Linked DNA regions of Schizosaccharomyces pombe. The protein of the gene in region 1 purifies or fractionates together with the protein of each later gene. This does not show direct contact. Each region holds a gene or a part of one and is shown in the gene's direction. Other genes may lie near its edges.

Region 1 (3,446 bases):
CTTAGCGCTATTTTGAAATTTGGAGCTTCTAATATGTTTAAAGCAGAGAATAATCAAAAGAAGCTTGAGGATATGAATTTAGATGAAATTTTGGAACATGCCGAAGATCATGATACTTCCAATGATGTGGGTGGAGCCAGCATGGGTGGTGAAGAGTTTTTGAAACAGTTCGAAGTTACAGACTATAAGGCAGATGTATCTTGGGATGATATTATACCCCTAACTGAACGTGAGAAGTTTGAAGAGGAAGACCGCTTAAGAGAAGAGGAAGAAGCGCTTAAGCAAGAAATTGAGCTTAGTAGTAGACGAGGTAATCGTCCTTATCCTAGCTCTGCGGTGGAATCCCCATCCTACTCTGGAACTTCTGAAAGGAAGAGCAAAAAGCAAATGCTTAAAGATGAGGTTTTACTGGAAAAGGAAATTCGGTTGCTTTATCGTGCTATGATTAGATATGGAAGCCTTGAGCATCGCTACAATGACATTGTTAAATATGCTGATCTTACTACGCAAGATGCTCACGTAATAAAAAAGATTGCAGCTGACTTAGTAACCGCTTCACGCAAGGCTGTATCAGCAGCCGAGAAGGACTTATCTAATGATCAGTCTAATAATAAGTCATCTCGTAAAGCGCTGCTCATTACATTTAAAGGTGTAAAAAATATAAATGCTGAAACATTGGTACAAAGGCTAAATGATCTTGATATTCTTTATGATGCTATGCCAACGTCAGGATATTCTAACTTCCAAATTCCAATGCACGTTAGATCTGTTCACGGCTGGTCCTGTCAGTGGGGACCCCGAGAAGATTCCATGTTGCTTTCTGGAATTTGTAAGCATGGATTTGGAGCTTGGTTAGAAATTCGAGATGATCCAGAACTCAAAATGAAAGACAAGATCTTTTTAGAAGACACAAAACAAACAGACAACTCTGTCCCCAAAGATAAAGAAAATAAAGAGAAAAAGGTACCTTCAGCTGTGCATTTGGTTCGTCGAGGTGAATACCTACTTAGTGCTTTACGTGAGCATCACCAAAATTTTGGCATAAAATCAAGCCCCGCTATTAGTACTAATGGAAAAACTCAACCTAAGAAGCAGACGGCTAATCGCAGACAAAGTGGCAAGCCTAACGTTAAATCTGCGCAAAAAATAGAGAGTGCAACTAGGACACCATCGCCTGCAATTTCAGAATCTCGTAAGAAACCTTCTTCTAAAGACACGAAGATTGAAACACCTAGTAGGGAACAGTCTCGCAGCCAGACAGCTTCACCCGTCAAATCTGAAAAAGACGATGGTAATGTAAGTCTAAATGCTGAACAAAAGGCACGCTGCAAAGAACTGATGTATCCAGTCCGTAAGCATATGAAAAGACTTCGGAAAGATTCTAGTGGGCTTGGACGCGCGGAGTTGGTGAAGTTACTTACTGAGTGTTTGACAACGATTGGAAAGCATATTGAAAAAACTGTCAATGATACACCCTCCGAAGAAAAAGCTACTGTTAGGAAGAATTTATGGATGTTTGCATGTTACTTTTGGCCGAAGGAGGAGGTTAAATATACCAGCTTGATCAGCATGTATGAAAAGATGAAGTAGATTTTAGCCTGTCATACAAAAGCCAATTTGTTTCTTCATTTTTCATCCGGAATATTTTAGGTTTGAAGCTCGAATATGTTTATCTTTTACAGTCTTCAATTTTGATTGCTACATTTCAAAGATCACTAAATTCTAGTCTAAAAATCGTTTCTTATTGTACCTTTAATTATAATGTTAATAAACCCTGCATTTCAAATCTTGACTTTAGGAAATCCTCCGGTATTCAGAACATAGAGTCAGCATAGATAAGAATAATCCAGTAATACAATTTGTTTTTAATTGAAATATCAATGGCAAACTGCTATTTATTAGTCTGCAACTTTATGCAGTTTGTAAATATAATAGTGTAACTCAGTAGACATCGTTACCAGTGAAAAGTTCATTCAAACATCACAGTACGGCAGGGTTCACCTTTCACACCAAATCACGTTTATAAATTAGAATGTCTCGTGCGGCCTTACCAAGCTTAGAAAGTACGTTACAAATTATTTAGAGTGGCTTTCGAGTACTATTTATTCGATATGCTAATGTCTATGATTTTTTCGTTGGCCTAAAGACGTTTACTAACATAATGCTTAGACCTTGAGGATGATGATGAGTTTGAAGATTTCGCAACAGAAAGTAAGTACTTTTAAAGAAATAATTATTTAACATCAAAAAGATTGGCCTATGAAAGATACAGAGCTTGATACTGGAGATGATACGCTATGGGAAAACAATTGGGACGATGAGGACATTGGAGACGATGATTTTTCTGTTCAATTACAAGCAGAGTTAAAAAAGAAGGGTGTTGCCGCCAATTAAGATATTGCTTCTGCCAGAGTGTATATCTCCGAAACTGCCTTCATCCCTCAGTATAATTTTAATGCATTAACAAAACGATCGAATACAGGTTCTTTCATGACTCTAAGGTTTTGCTGGTTCTGTAAATACGGTGCAGATAGATATTCTTGTGTTGAAGATTTTTACGTTTAAAGAACTTCAACTTGTCCATATCTGTAAATTAGGTCTATGATACTTATATACGCCTGAATTGATTATATTCTAACAATTACCGGCGAAACGGTACTGCCTGTATATGCGAAATGAAGATAAGCTAGAAAATGTAAAACCTATTTGCATTACTATAGACAATAGCAACCCATGATTGTTCAAATGATGATCATTTCAAATGGTCAAAAGAAGAGACGCGTAGTTAATATGTAAAGGAATTTAAACAAAAACATTGAAGTGTATGAGGCAAAGATGAAGGTGCCTGGGAAAATGAAACGCAATTGTCATGAACTTAATTTCTTAGAAGATTCTTAATCGTAATTATCAGCATCTCCTTGTTCTAAGGCTTCTTCCATCAACTTGAAAGTAGCGCGGATAGGCAAGCCTACAACATTGGAAAAGTCACCTATGATAGACTCAATCAATAAGGCGCCGTGACCCTAAACTTAGTCAGCAAAGTCATGCGTAAAAATTTAAAAAAAACAAAAAATGCTATAATTCATTATTTGAAAGCACGCACGGTTCAGGCACTTCCATCACCCTAAAAACAGCCAAAAACATACCTGTATAGCATAGCCTCCGGCTTTATCTGAACCTTCGCCACAACGAACATAAGCTTCGAGAAATTCGTCAGTTATGGAAGGGTCAAACTTCACCTGAGTTTCTTCAAGGTGTGTTTTCATAACATAACCTGGATGAATAGGCACTTCCATAGGCACAATAACACTGACAGCAGTAAATACTTTATGGGGTGTTTTAGAATTTCTGAGCTTTTTCAGCATGGCAAGGTGATGCTTGGGATCGTTGGGCTTCTCCATAATCTCAGAATCCAAAATCAATATAGTATCGGCGGATACAACTAT
Region 2 (4,700 bases), on another chromosome or scaffold:
TTGTCTGAGCTTCCATTAACAAGGTTTTATCGATATTCAATTTCTGCGGAGCCAGAGTTTGATGCGCTTGGCCATTTAGAGGAGTCTTACGTAGAATTTGACAACTTACCGGCTGATACACTGCTTACAATGGACATTGAAGCTAGAGACGCATGGACAGTTATGCAAAAAGATGTGGACATTGATCTTTTCAACATAAAATTAGAGCACACTTCTGAAGCAGAGGCTTTGGACTCACATACAGCAATCTATGAACTTAAAAACATTTTGGTACAAGGTTACTCTCAAGAAGAATTCAGGAAAAGCCCACCGAGGGGTATGCAATTAAAGCTAGGCAACCTTACTAATTCCCATGTGACTGATACAATTGTATTATCAAATTTAGGATATTTTCAATTGAAGGCGAACCCAGGCGTATGGACTTTGGAACCTATGGATGGGCGGTCTTCTCAGTTTTATGAAATACTGTCGCTAAATAAGAAAAATTCCTATAAAGACCCTCAAGTAATTGTTGACAGTTTTGAAGGTGTCACCTTAAATCCGGTTATGCGACGTAAACCTGGTTTTGAGTCTGCCGACATTATGGATGAAGACCTTAGCTCCCATAAATTTTTCGATAAAATAAAAAAGTCTCTCAGCTTCTTTAATTTCAAACGTAAAGAAGCATCTATAAATATTTTTTCTGTTGCCAGCGGACACTTGTATGAAAGATTCTTATACATCATGACTAAGAGTGTAATTGAGCATACGGATAAAAAAGTCAAGTTCTGGTTTATTGAGAACTTTTTGTCCCCTTCTTTTAAAAGCTCTATTCCGGCCATTGCCAAAAAGTATAATTTCGAGTATGAGTATATTACTTACAATTGGCCACACTGGCTGAGAAAACAAGAAGAAAAGCAACGTGAGATATGGGGATACAAAATATTGTTCCTTGATGTTTTATTCCCTTTAGAATTGCATAAGGTTATCTATGTTGATGCCGATCAAATTGTGCGTGCTGACTTGCAGGAATTGATGGATATGGATTTACATGGTGCTCCATATGGGTATACACCCATGTGTGATTCTCGCGAAGAGATGGAAGGTTTTAGATTCTGGAAAAAAGGATACTGGAAAAAATTCTTACGTGGATTAAAATATCACATTAGTGCATTATATGTTGTAGACTTAGATCGTTTCAGGAAGATGGGTGCGGGTGATTTACTTCGCAGACAATACCAACTTTTGTCTGCCGATCCTAACTCCCTGTCTAATTTAGATCAAGATTTGCCAAATCACCTTCAACACCTTATTCCTATATACTCTCTTCCGCAAGATTGGCTTTGGTGTGAGACATGGTGCAGTGATGAAAGTTTGAAAACTGCCAAAACAATCGATTTATGTCAAAATCCTTTAACTAAAGAAAAGAAGCTGGATCGCGCACGTAGGCAAGTCTCTGAATGGACTTCATACGATAATGAGATAGCATCCGTATTGCAAACCGCCTCTAGTCAATCAGATAAAGAGTTTGAAGAAAAGGATAACAACTCATCTCCGGACGAACTTTGAAACATACTTTTCTTTTGCTTTCATATTATTTAATTCGTGATTGTACGCCTGAAATTTTATAATCGTTTTTCTAATTTACTTGCGAATTTGCATAAGTTAGAAGAGAAAAGAGTTAAAATCAAAATGTTTTAATGAATTGCTTGAATACTGAGAGTATTGGCTTTAGGGATTAAAAGGGGTCAAAATTAGTATATGTCGTCCGTTTGAAATGAGCTAGTCATGAGTTAATTTTTTCCTCCAATCTTGTTAGGACCATTTTGCTGGTGCATTCTACAAGTTGTATACAACGATTATGGTGCTAAGAAACAACTAATCGTGAGCAATGCTACGTTTATTGAATGTTTGTTGAAGACGCGTATTTTCATTTATTTAACTATTCGATACTATCTTCTACTTTGTTCAAACATTATTCGTCTATTATGCTGTAATAAATATTGCATTCAAAAGTCTTTACTAAATAGAACATTTAATATATTCGTGTTTATAATCATAGGGAGGAAGTATACAGCACAGTGAGTCGTAAGCTTAGGCATATGCCCTCCACTGAACGTAACCACTACCAAGTACCAGTATCAATATGATTGATGATCAGAGAGGTTTGTTATTGATGGGAAAGTTTTTGTATTTATTAACGTTAAAAAGATATGCAGGTTGATTCTGTAAACCAAGAAGAAAATGTTGATTCTGGTGAAACAAAACAGAACACTGTAACTGAAGTTCCAAGAACAGTTTTGCAAGGTGAGTTAATGCGTCAAAATTTATTTATTTCTAACAAGGATCAGATGTGGAAGCAAATATTGCTGCCTTAATGCAAGCCACCAAACAAAGAGATCCCAGACTTGTCTATCGATCATTAAGAACCACATCCAACATTTGCCATAGACTGAATGCGGATGTTTTAGGCCAGTTAATTAAGAAGTATTATTCTTTTGATAATTCTTTAAAAAATGAATTATTGGAACTTATTGATATGCCACAAAATGGTGATGATTCTTCCACTTCTATTACAAATGGAAATGGCAACACAATTTTTCCGGAAGTGGATATGTACTTACAACTGCTTCTTAGCATGACACTTTATTATAATGAAAAATATGAGGTAGGCGCTGAATATATTAAGAAGGTAATCGCCCGTTTGCAATCCTATGATCGACGAACCTTGGATCAAATTGCAGCCAAGTTATATTTCTATTACATACTATTCTTTGAAAAATGTAATAGGTCTGTAGAATGCAGGAACACTCTTTTGTCCGTTCATCGTACTGCATCTTTACGTCACGACTCTGAAACTCAAGCTATGGTTTTGACATTACTTCTTCGGAATTATATTCAGTTTAACCTATATGATCAAGCAGACCGTCTCGTTTCGAAAACATCCTTTCTTACGAATGCTAGTAATAACTTGGCAATTCGCTACCAATACTATTTGGGTCGAATTCGCGCCATTCAACTTGACTACACGACCGCTCATGAACATTTAGTTAGTGCTATACGTAAGGCTCCCAACACAGTATATGCCGTTCAATTTCTGGAAGCTGTTTACAAATTGCACATCGTCGTACAATTGCTTATGGGAGAAATTCCCGAACGCCGCATTTTCCGCCAAAAATCTCTCGAAAAAACTTTAGTGCCTTACTTACGTATTAGCCAGGCAGTTCGTATTGGTGACCTTTGTGCTTTCACTGACGCGCTTTCCAAGTATGAGGCTGAATTTCGCTTCGATGGATTGTATACTTTGATATGCCGCCTTCGCCATACCGTCATTAAGACTGGATTGAGGATGATCTCCTTATCTTATTCCCGTATTTCCCTTCGTGATGTTTGTATAAAGCTTGGTTTGGACAGTGAAGAGAGTGCCGAGTACATTGTTGCTAAGGGCATCCGTGATGGAGTTATTGATGCAAGTATCGATCATAGTAATGCCTTTATGGCTAGTAACGAAGCCATGGATATTTATTCCACCGAGCAGCCTCAACAAGCTTTTCATGAACGTATTCAGTTTTGTCTTGCCCTTCATAATGACAGCATAAAAAGTATGCGATATCCCATGGATGCTCACAAAAGTGAACTCGAAGGTGTGGAAGAGGCACGTAGGCGTATGGATAAAGAAATGGCTGAGGCAGATTTAGATGACGATGAGCCTGATTTGGGCGAATTTTAAAAAACTTATGGAAAGTTTATAGATCTTAAAATATACTTTCAAAGTTGTTCAGTTGTATGTTTCTTTAATGTCTATGAAAACTATATGTAGTTTACAGATTGAAATATTTAGTGAGTTTGCGAAGCTGTAACAGAAGGAAAGTTGTTGAAAAACAGTTTTCGATCGGTGCTACAACGCTACAAATGCGTTTGTTGTTTAAACTGAGACTTGGTCTTTGCACATTGTAATAAATGAGTAATACGCTAAAAACACAGGGGTTTGGAGAATGGTCGTGTGCTTTATTTTCAAATTTGTTGTTTTATATTTCGTATATAATACACGTATGCAAACACATTTATGGTTATGCTGTGAAGCAATACAGATTTGATCTTGGATTATGGTTCCAATCAAAGGTATACTTTAGTCTTTTTAATTATAAATGGCGAAATGGGCAAAAAATTTTTGTGCAAATTTATTTTTTGTTATGCATAACTAGAGCAAATAAAGCAATGCTATAAAATGGCTTCCGGCAGAAAATAATAACCACAGTGGATATAAGCTAGTTTTCTAACGTGACTTAAGTAACACTTTATAAAACCAAAGCTATACATTAGTCTCTCCCATTACCACTTTGTCAATTTTAGCTAAGTTAGTAGATATGATCAACACTATATATTTAAAGTGGAACGGCAAGCTCATTTTTTACGTTATAGTAATTTAACAATTTTGTCGATATTTTGAGCAATGGTGTATTCTGCTGTGGTCGCTACGGCGCATATCATCAAATATCGCCTGTCCGGTTTCTCTATTCGCTAAATACGGGAAGATACTGATATAGTCTATATTGTATTTCACAAGTAAAATAGTTTCTGAGTTAGCCATCATGTCGTCAGTTAAACTGATCCTCGTTCTTCAGTTCACTTACAAGCTCTTTTATTGATAAATCGTTATAATACCGCCCCCATAATATAATATCTGTAATTCTCTTTAATTTTGCCCTATTTGTAATACA
Region 3 (6,019 bases), on another chromosome or scaffold:
CTGAGCTTAAACAAATATGGGGTGAGGTTGCTTTATCGTGGGCTACGACTTGTCCTTCTCGACGTTTGGCTTGTAATTCATTCCAGTTGTTTCGTTCTTTGCTTCCAGATTTTGATGCACGAATGCTTCTTGAGATTATTTCTCGTCTAGTTGGTACAATATCAGATGAAACGAGCTATTTACGTGATTATTCCGTTGAAATATTGCGAACTTTTAATTCCTATGTTTTAGTTATGAACTCCGATGATTTACTAAGTTATTCTCAAATATTATGGACAGCCATTGCGTGTTTGACTACAATCCATGAGGATGAATTTATTGAATCTGTGAAAATTGCATATGCTTACTTTCTGAGAGTGGAGGAGACGGACTCTGCTACCCAACAAATTATGGAGACATTTCCCCAAAACTGGGTTGGAGATTACCAAGGTCTTCAGATTTTAATATTAAAAGGTTTCCGTTCAACTAATTCTTTTGAAATTACCATGAATTTTTTCCTTTTGCTGATGGATTTCAAGGATAATGATTTGGTTGGCGTTGGTTATTTGAGGATACTATCCTGCTTGTTGGTGTCATTACCAGCGATGGTATATACATACGAGCATTCAGATCCTATTACTTTTGATTTAAGTGTTTTCTGTCATAAATTAGCTACTCTTGCTTCACAATTTAACGATGATGCATTGATTGAGCTTCTTGACACATATCTCAAACGTAAATTCAGGTCAATTAAGGATTTTTTAAAACATACGGTTTCATACCTATACTCCTATTATTTTGAAGATTACGAGCTAGAAATTGTTAGTACTCTTACGATGTTTCTATCAAATAATTTGACTTGGTTTAGAAAGTCTACGTTAGATGTGTTAAAAGAACTCTTTCCATTAATTGATTTCCAAAAACCTATATATTCCGAACATGGATTAGGTATTGTTTCACCGCTTCTTCGACTCTTACCTACTGGTTATGCAATGGAAGCGTTGTCTTTGCTAACCGACTCAGTGCTTCATGTATCTGCTCCCACAGATATGCAAACCTTAAAGTTATTAATGGTTGACCCTAAATTAAAAAATTCAGATGATCGTCTGGCTGGATTTTTTGAAATACCTGACGAGGATGGATGGTATGAACCAAACTCTGAATATGCAGCTGCTATAACTAAAAGCAACGTACATGCCGTATTTTATAGCTGTTCCACTACCGAGGCTTCTGTGAGTACGCCAGAGGTTAGATTTCATGCTGATGAAGTATCCAATTATCCGCGACACGTTCCTACTGACAGTCATGGTTCGCTTGACGAAAATTCACTAGGAGAGCTAGTTACAACTCTTCATAGCCTCGATGTCTTCTTCGCTGAAGATAGGGATGAAGAGTTAATTCAGCCTGATGTCGCCGTTGATCCAAAATTAGATATTACATCGGAAGATTATGACGATCGGATAGCTACGATTCTTTCAGGTAGCCTTAGACGGCAGAAACAAGGTCTTATGGCTTATGAAACAGAATCCTTCAGAGATTATTCACCGAACGAAGAAATTGATGCATCAGCAAAATTGCCGATGGACATGCCGCCGGTGAGAGTAAGAAAGTCGTCTTTTATCTCTAAATTAAAACCTCATTACTTTATGGATGCTGAATCTTATTATCCTTCTTTAAAGGCACTTGGTAATTCGGCGGAACATCGTTTATCTTTGGACGAAATACGAGGTGCAGCAGAATTGAAACAAAATAAAAATTGGAATTCCATGTTAGATCAATCTGTTTCTATGATTAATGAAGATTCAGTGGAAGACCATGAAACTCATGAAAATTATTATCATTTACGTACAATGTTTCAAGGAAGTGAAAGCAATGAATCTTTTACTGATACAACTCGATCCCGCGGTTGGCATTGAATTTGCCTATACTGGTTTAGTATACTTATACAAGCTTTTATGGTGTTCATGTGTGTAAGATGGAAAATTAGTCGGCAACGTTTATGGATGTACTATATAAAACTATTCGTTTGTTTTCATTATTTTATCATTTGCATTTTTTTGTTAATTTAAACTCGAAAATTCTTTGACCATTACAGCCTTTAATTTTAGAATTCAAAATCTTAGAGCGTGTCATGTTATTAAAAATCAAGCTATAACTATGGTAATTAGGTGTAGTGATATAAATCGGTTTCATATGTCCGTATTTAAACAAATGAAAACATAAAGAGTCAATCAATAACGAGTTATTTTACAACAATTCTTATAAGAAAAGAGGCATGAGATAATAATGTCAAGCATCGTGTAATAATGGTAATACATTGACGAACTTAAATAATAGATTATTTTTTCATTTGTACTGATCCATAAAGAAAGCATAGCGTGTTGTTAAATCTAATTAACGTGATAAATAATCAAATACGTAAACAATCGGTATACTGGTTCTGACTAGGGTGAGAGTAGTTTCAACGACAACACATTACTACTCAGTTTCAGAAAATCTTAGGAATCTAGAAAATGAGTTCTAAAGACATTAGTTCGAAGTCCCCGAGTGGTAATGATGCATTAAATGACAAAAAAGGGACAAAGACTTCAGAAACTAATGACAGAAACTCAACGAACAATACCAAAGAAAGGGATGAATTAGAGGATTTAGTAAGTTAAAGCCCTATTATTTTTCAAAATGAAAACTAACCAAATAGTCTGAAGAAGATTTACAATTAAAAAATGATTTGGAATTATTAGTTCAAGCTGTTCAAGATGCCACCCCTGAGTTGGTGGGTTCCAGTCTCACTCAGCTTAAAGAAATAATTCGTACTTCTACCTCCTCTATGACGGCCGTTCCAAAGCCTTTGAAGTTTCTTAGACCACATTATTTTACTCTCGTTAAAATCTATGATTCCTGGCCGCAAAGCCCTCAGAAGACTCAACTTGCTGATATCCTTTCAGTATTAGGAATGTCCTATAGTAATACAAGCAAACATGAATCATTAAAATATCGTCTTCAGGGCGTTACCACTGATCCTTCTTTATGGGGTCATGAGTATGTTCGCCATTTGGCTTCCGAAATAGAAGAAGAGTTTGCCAGTCGCCAGGAAGAGGAAGCGCCAACCGACGATCTTATGGAACTTGCATTGACCATTGTTCCATTCTTCCTTACTCATAATGCTGAGGCTGATGCTATTGATTTATTACAAGAATTGGGTGCTATTGAAAAAGTTGTACCCTTCGTAGAACTTGATAATGCTTCTCGCGTTTGTCTTTATATTACCAGTTGCGTTAATCTTTTGCCATTTCCTGAAGATGTCGCCATGTTAAGAACAGCGCATGCTATTTATCGGAAGTTTGACCAGCTTACACAAGCACTTAACGTTGCTATCCGCCTTGATGATATGTCTTTGATAAAAGAAGACTGTGAAGCTGCTACGGATCCCTTGTTGAAAAAGCAAATGTCTTACATGCTTGCTCGTCAGCAAATACCTATGGATATGGGAGACGAGGAGTTAAACGATGCTTTAAATAACACTCATTTATCTGATCACTTTCATTATCTAGGAAAGGAGTTGAACCTTATGGATCCTAAAGTTCCGGAAGATATCTTTAAAACACATTTAGAAGTGGCTAGGACTGGATTGGGTGCATCAGGAGTGTATTCCGCCAAACAAAATTTAGCTAACACTTTTGTCAATGCCCTTGTCAATGCCGGATACAGTAACGACAGATTAATTTTGGTCGATGACGAAAAAACGTCTTGGATTTATAAAAATAAAGAATCTGGTTTAATAAGTGCTACAGCTTCTATTGGCCTATTACAATTATGGAATGTTGACATGGGATTGTCTTTGTTGGATAAGTATTTATACTCTTCTGAGGAGAATACCAAGGCTGGTGCATTGTTGGGAATTGGTGTTACAAATGTTGCAGTAAGAAATGAAGCTGATCCAGCTATGGCAATTCTTTCTGAATACCTTGAAACTGGCTCCGTAAAGCTTCGTGCATCAGCGATTTTAGGTTTAGGACTTGCATACAGTGGAGCTAATCGCGAAGATTTACTCGACATGTTATCTCCAATTGTTACGGATACCGATTGCCCTATGCAATTATCCTGCTTAGCCGCATTATCTTTAGGTCTTATTTTTGTTGGTACTTGCAACGGCGATGTAGCTAGCACAATTTTACAAACTCTAATGGAGCGTGAAGAGTCTGCCCAAAATGATCAATGGGGCCGTTTTATGGCTCTTGGCCTTGCCCTTCTTTTTAATGGTAAACAAGACCTTGCGGATGCTACAGTCGAAACACTGAAAGCTATTGAGGGTAAAATTGCACGACAAGCTGAAATTTTGGTGGATATTTGCTCGTATGCTGGAACTGGCAACGTTCTTCACATCCAAAAATTGCTTCATATCTGTAGTGAACCTCCCAGTGATGATGCTAAGGAGAGTGAGACTACTATCCAGACATTTGCAGCACTTGGTGTTGCTACTATAGCTATGGGTGAAGATATTGGAGCAGAAATGGTTTTGAGACATTTCGATCACATGATGCATTATGGCGAACCCTCTATTCGAAAAGCTATACCACTTGCATTAGGATTGCTTTCCGCTTCCAATCCTCAAATGCGTATATTTGACACGCTTTCACGCTATAGTCACGATAATGATTTGGATGTTGCTTACAACGCAATCTTTGCAATGGGTCTTGTTGGTGCTGGTACTAGTAATGCGCGTTTGGCTCAATTACTCCGCCAACTAGCCAGTTATTATCACAAAGAATCCAACGCTCTATTCATGGTTCGTATCGCTCAAGGTTTACTTTACTTAGGAAAAGGAACAATGACGCTTAACCCTTATCATACAGAACGGCAGATTCTTGGTCAAACTGCTTTTGCTGGTCTTATGACTGTTGTATTAGCTATGCTAGATGCAAATACCTTTGTCCTTGATACCTCGCATTGGTTGCTTTATGCTATTACGTTAGCAATACGACCCCGAATGCTCATTACCCTTGGTGAGGACGGTCAATATTTACCAGTAAGCGTTCGAGTTGGTCAAGCAGTAGATGTGGTCGGTCAAGCTGGTCGTCCCAAGGTCATTACGGGTTGGGTCACACATACTACACCAGTTTTGTTGCATCACAATGAGCGAGCTGAACTAGCGACGGAAGCATATACACCTTTGACTTCGTTGGAAGGTATTGTTATTTTAAAAAAAAATACGGAGGACATTGAAATGACCGCTTAAATGACTTGAAGTTAAATGACTACAATTTTTATGTACTAATGCTTGATTTCCAGTTCTTTGCTATTAATAAAACAAACTGGATTGTTGAAATTCAGCGCCCGATACATTTATTTTTCTATTTCGATTATGTTAAATTCGTATTTTTTAGATTAGAAATGTTCTAGTATTGTTCTAAATTGAAGTAGCGGAAAGTATATATACATGATTGCAAATTTGTAATTAGGATTATAATTTCTGTTTCTTTTTTTTTGTATTTGTCGCGTTACCAAAAGGTAATAGAACGTCCACTGCAGAAACGTCTTGTTGGATAAAAATTGCCCGAACTAAGGAGCTACCATTTCTTAGTAAAAAAAATTTAGACCTGCGTTGGAGCTTAATGCAATTATCAAAGAATGAATTTTAATCATCTTCTGATAATCCGACAAAGGAGTTGACTGCTTTGCGACGCATCCCTTATGTCACGTTTCTACTACTGTTTCAATACCTAACCATTACATTAAAGGTAAAACTGCACATTAGATACTTCGCATTTAGGGAATAACGGTGAATAGCTTTATTTAATTTCAAATATTATCTTGAATTGTTATTATGTTTCATCATATGCAGTCCCAAAGTCTGCTCATCGTTAATTCATTTCCACAGGTAAGTTGTGCATTCATTTCGTTATGTGAAAAAATGGAATGACGCTCGTATTTGAATTGATAGAAATGTCATATATGACTATTAGGGGACTATTATGTGTTGATTGAACAATTTATTTTCAATGGGATCACTCACCCGTCATTTTGTCTACCGAATTGCATT
Region 4 (4,137 bases), on another chromosome or scaffold:
CCCTTTAAAGAACGAGGTAGGTCCTTCGAATTTAAGCATATTTTTCAAAATAGTAAACCCGGATTGAGGGTTATCAAAATTCTTATTTTGAATACGAGTTTTAATAACATCGAGAGGGGCAGAGACAATCAAACTAGCAGAAGCACCAGCGATTGAGGTGAAAAAATTTTGAAAAAAAGTGGCTTGAGAGTAATCCTTTAGTTTAAATATGTACTCCTTAGCAAAAGCGTTACCACCAAAGAGTGCAAAAGAACCTGGGGCATTGCGGGCGGCAGTCCATCCCCATCCACGATACAACGCAAATTTCTCATCAGCGAGAATTCTGAAAACACCGCGACCTTTAAAAGCTGCAGGATTGGTTTGGCGCTTAATTTTCAGGACGTCTAAGGGAAGGAGGAAGATCTCTCCAATTCCAACGATACTGAAAAGTTAGTAAGCTATACACATCTTGAATTCCCTTTTCAACAATCTTAAACATAAGCTTTCAGCTTAGTTAAACAAATATTCGACAGATACATACCTTCCAGCAGTAGCATGCATAATGGCTTTTCCAGATCCCTTTCCAAAAGTTTTATCAAAAGTATGTCTATAATTTTCATTCAAAAAGTCTTTTACCTGAACATGTTAGTAAAGATGAACGAGTATACTGAAGCCAACTGCGATACATTAATTCCGCCATCAAGGCTTGGAAAAAACGTACGCTTTAAACTACCAGTATAAGTACTCTACAACATACAATTGGTTGACCGCTATATTTATAAATACGTTGTACAATTTTGTAGCAAGCAGCATAGCCCAAACCAGGAAAAAGAGAGGTAGCCTTTTGGAGTAGAGGAGCAGAGGCAGCATCTCTGAAAATTACAGTGTTAAGTTGAGTTAAAGAAGTAATTTTTCCATGATTTGACATCAAACGCTTGGAAATTGTATCAACAGGATGAAAGAGTGAAAGTTCGAGAATTCCGGCAGATGCTGATCCCACAATTCGAGCGGTTTGCGACTCTTTGTTTTTCAACTGAACAGGAGCCATCTTTCTCTATCTATTTAAAAATTTAATTAATAACCAAAAAGTTTCGTTGTGTTGAAAAAGAAAAGTTAAAGGATTTTAGTGTAGTGAACTTTTATTGAAATTTTTTTCATTTTTTGATAAGAACTGATAGCCTTCGTTTTAGAGATAAGATGAAATATCGTTGTTCTCAAATAGTGATCTATGTTTTTCTGTTAATATTTTTAAACGTTTGAAATAATTCCAAAAACACAAATCCTATTAATGTAAGTTTGCAAAAAATCTCATGCATATGGCTTTGATGAAACGTGTGGACATACAAAATATCTGAATTCTAACTGTTTCAATTGCTTCAGACGAAAACTTTTAAGAACGTTCTTACTGAAAGTTTCTTTTACTTGTTTCATCGTAAATATAGTCATCGAACAGATATTTAATGAACTTTTGGAATGCGTCTCACGTGTATTTCGGTTTGATTAAGTAGTTAAAAGTGATATACTATGCTTCAAATCGAAATACCAGCATGTAATTTGATATGCAAAGTATTTCTTTAAAAAAAGAGCAGATGGTTTCAAGATATGTCTTCAATATTTAATGTCCATGTCTTTTCAGAATTTATTTGAGTAAATTACGTGCAATTACACGTTTAACATGATTTAAATGTATAGCTCTTCAATCCTTTCTACATATGAGAGGGAGTGTAATATAATTGCCATTTAGTAGCCTAATGGAATGATCATTGTTTAAAGCATTGTTATATTACAGCGCTTAATAGGTAGTTGGGCATTTGAAAGTATCGTAATATTTCTGTAATGAACTATGTCTTAACTTGCGGTAAGTAGGAAACCGCTGCAGCATGTGATGAGAGGTTACACGCTTTCAACCTTTCGTTTGCCATACACAGTTGAAGTTGTGAGAGACAAATTTTTAATATAAACCGGTTATAATGCCTCCTGCAGTGAGCTCTGAAACCTCTACAATCGTCCCACAGCAAGTTGTAAGTAGAAAATTTGAGAAACTTTTTTATTAACCATTGGTTAGATTGTGCATCCATTAGTACTTCTGTCAGCAGTAGATTCTTATAATCGATCTGCCAAGGGAACCAAAAGACGGGTCGTTGGTATTCTATTGGGTCAAAATAATGGCGACGTTGTAAACGTGGCCAATAGTTATGCTATACCATTTGAGGAAGATGAAAAGAATGCATCGGTTTGGTTTTTGGACCATAATTTTATGGAATCAATGAATGAAATGTTTAAAAAAATCAATGCAAATGAAAAATTAGTTGGCTGGTATCATACTGGACCACAACTCCGACCCTCTGATTTGGAAATCAACAACTTACTTAAAAAATACATACCCAATCCCGTTCTTGTCATTATCGATGTAAAGCCCAAATCAGTGGGTCTTCCGACTAATGCCTACTTTGCCATTGATGAAATTGAAGACGACGGCTCTAAGTCCAGCAGAACTTTTGTTCATCTACCCTCCAGTATAGAGGCAGAGGAAGCAGAGGAAATTGGTGTTGAACACTTGTTACGTGATACTCGTGATGCATCCGTTGGTACTTTAGCGACAAGAGTTACCCAGCAGGCACAATCTTTACAAGGCCTTGGGCAGCGTCTCACTGAAATCGCAGATTACTTAAGGAAAGTCGTGGATGGGCAACTACCTATAAATCATGCTATCCTTGCCGAGCTTCAGAGTGTGTTTAATCTTTTGCCTAACATTTTTAGCGGTCCTGTGGTTTCAGAACAGGCCTTGGAATCAGAGGCACAACGTGCTTTCAATGTGAATTCCAATGATCAGTTGATGTCCATTTATATTTCCAGCATCGTGAGGGCCGTGATTGCTCTTCATGATCTTTTGGATTCTTTGGCTGCTAGTAAAGCTATGGAACAGCAGGACATAAAGCCAACTGTTCAAAATGGAGAAGTTTCGGCTAATGCCGAACAAAAGGCTTAATCACTGTATTCATACTATCCATGTCTGGCTTCTATCATTTGTGGACTCCTCTTTCTGAGATTTAACGACTTTATCTAACGTAGGTTTTTTATTTCAATGTCTAAGTATCATAGAGTTTTTATTTATATCTTGTCTTTTCGCAGACAGTTTTGCAGATATTTGTAACCCTCTTAACTTGTAAAAGTTACACGTCGGGTTCGGGTTTATTTGCTTGTATGTTAAAAATGATATGTCTACGTTTGTTAAATTGTATTTACGAAGGATAAAAGTGTAATTTTAAGTTAGTACGAAGAAATTGCATACAAAATATCATATTTTAATTTACAGTGATATGATGGATAGCTTGAGAAAAAACTTTTCATGAAAAGAAATCCTAGCAAACGCCAAGGTGTCAATGTTAAAAAGTAGGCTGACATTATATTAATGAAGTAAAAGGGAATAGGGATACGCGTACAGGTGACCAGCATCTCTTTCTTTGAGCTCTTTGATGAAAGTAGGTTCTAAGGAAGTTAAAAGAAACAGAAAAACAGCAAAAGAAGTAATTCGCATTTTTGGTTTTAATATCCATTTGATTCAAAAAGCTGCCATGCCTCGAAACAGTGAGAACCATTAGGATCTCCTTGGCAGCTAGAAATATCGATAATAGAGCATATAAGTAACGCATCCACACTGTGAAAAAGTTAGTATTTTACGCGAGGATAACTAAATATAATTACTCACATCATGCTGAGGCCGCCCTCTATGGCGCCAATGATAAGCCAAGCAAGGAATCCGCCTAAAAGTCCTACAATGTAGCCATAAAAGACACCATTTTCATGAATGGAATAATTCCACGAAGTAACGCCAACTCCTATAGCGAGGAGGGAACGAGCGGCTAGCAAAGTGTATTTAGAAAAATAGTAGGAACGTCGGCGTAATCCTACTCGGTTCAATTGTTCGATTTGATACAAAGCCTTGGACGCATTCATGTACGGGACTGAGTAAATTGATGCGTATGCTAGGGTAAGAGGAGATGTGACATACGAAGCAGACGTCTTTGAAAACATATAATATACAATACGCGAAACGTGTCTTAGCCATGTGGGTAGGAAATGCAATGGTACTTTGGTGATAACAACTAAAAAGGAAGAAAAGGCACATAAACCATACTGATTGGAAACAACGTGATA

Evidence for each region.
Region 2: the proteins of dss1 (region 1) and rpn3 purify together in Schizosaccharomyces pombe (affinity purification with mass spectrometry; 3 studies listed by BioGRID, with this or other methods). This does not show direct contact.
Region 3: the proteins of dss1 (region 1) and mts4 purify together in Schizosaccharomyces pombe (affinity purification with western blotting, with the first as the bait; 4 studies listed by BioGRID). This does not show direct contact.
Region 4: the proteins of dss1 (region 1) and rpn8 purify together in Schizosaccharomyces pombe (affinity purification with mass spectrometry, with the first as the bait; 2 studies listed by BioGRID). This does not show direct contact.

What each region holds. Positions count from the first base shown.
Region 1 is NC_003424.3:5,381,061-5,384,506, forward strand, and holds dss1 (proteasome receptor/ubiquitin ligase adaptor Dss1), read left to right. Parts: upstream 1-2,006; 5' UTR 2,007-2,032; coding exon 2,033-2,063; intron 2,064-2,169; coding exon 2,170-2,211; intron 2,212-2,251; coding exon 2,252-2,394; 3' UTR 2,395-2,751; downstream 2,752-3,446. Other genes in the region: CHD family chromatin remodeller Hrp3, read left to right, coding at 1-1,590; Maf-like protein Ifs1, read right to left, coding at 2,895-3,023, 3,147-3,446. UniProt on the Schizosaccharomyces pombe protein: Versatile protein that might stabilize multiple protein complexes involved in diverse pathways. Subunit of the 26S proteasome which plays a role in ubiquitin-dependent proteolysis.
Region 2 is NC_003423.3:710,387-715,086, forward strand, and holds rpn3 (19S proteasome regulatory subunit Rpn3), read left to right. Parts: upstream 1-2,103; 5' UTR 2,104-2,125; coding exon 2,126-2,144; exon of another isoform or gene 2,145-2,190; coding exon 2,191-2,286; exon of another isoform or gene 2,287-2,330; coding exon 2,331-3,709; 3' UTR 3,710-3,766; downstream 3,767-4,700. Other genes in the region: UDP-glucose--glycoprotein glucosyltransferase Gpt1, read left to right, coding at 1-1,548. UniProt on the Schizosaccharomyces pombe protein: Acts as a regulatory subunit of the 26 proteasome which is involved in the ATP-dependent degradation of ubiquitinated proteins.
Region 3 is NC_003423.3:2,850,526-2,856,544, reverse strand, and holds mts4 (19S proteasome regulatory subunit Rpn1/Mts4), read left to right. Parts: upstream 1-2,442; 5' UTR 2,443-2,492; coding exon 2,493-2,630; exon of another isoform or gene 2,631-2,677; coding exon 2,678-5,215; 3' UTR 5,216-5,424; downstream 5,425-6,019. Other genes in the region: morphogenesis protein Mor2, read left to right, coding at 1-1,895. UniProt on the Schizosaccharomyces pombe protein: Acts as a regulatory subunit of the 26 proteasome which is involved in the ATP-dependent degradation of ubiquitinated proteins.
Region 4 is NC_003421.2:388,798-392,934, forward strand, and holds rpn8 (proteasome regulatory subunit Rpn8), read left to right. Parts: upstream 1-1,896; 5' UTR 1,897-1,949; coding exon 1,950-2,000; exon of another isoform or gene 2,001-2,044; coding exon 2,045-2,968; 3' UTR 2,969-3,295; downstream 3,296-4,137. Other genes in the region: ggc1 (guanine nucleotide transporter), read right to left, coding at 1-421, 521-615, 737-1,027; ctl1 (choline transmembrane transporter family protein), read right to left, coding at 3,526-3,637, 3,689-4,137. UniProt on the Schizosaccharomyces pombe protein: Acts as a regulatory subunit of the 26S proteasome which is involved in the ATP-dependent degradation of ubiquitinated proteins.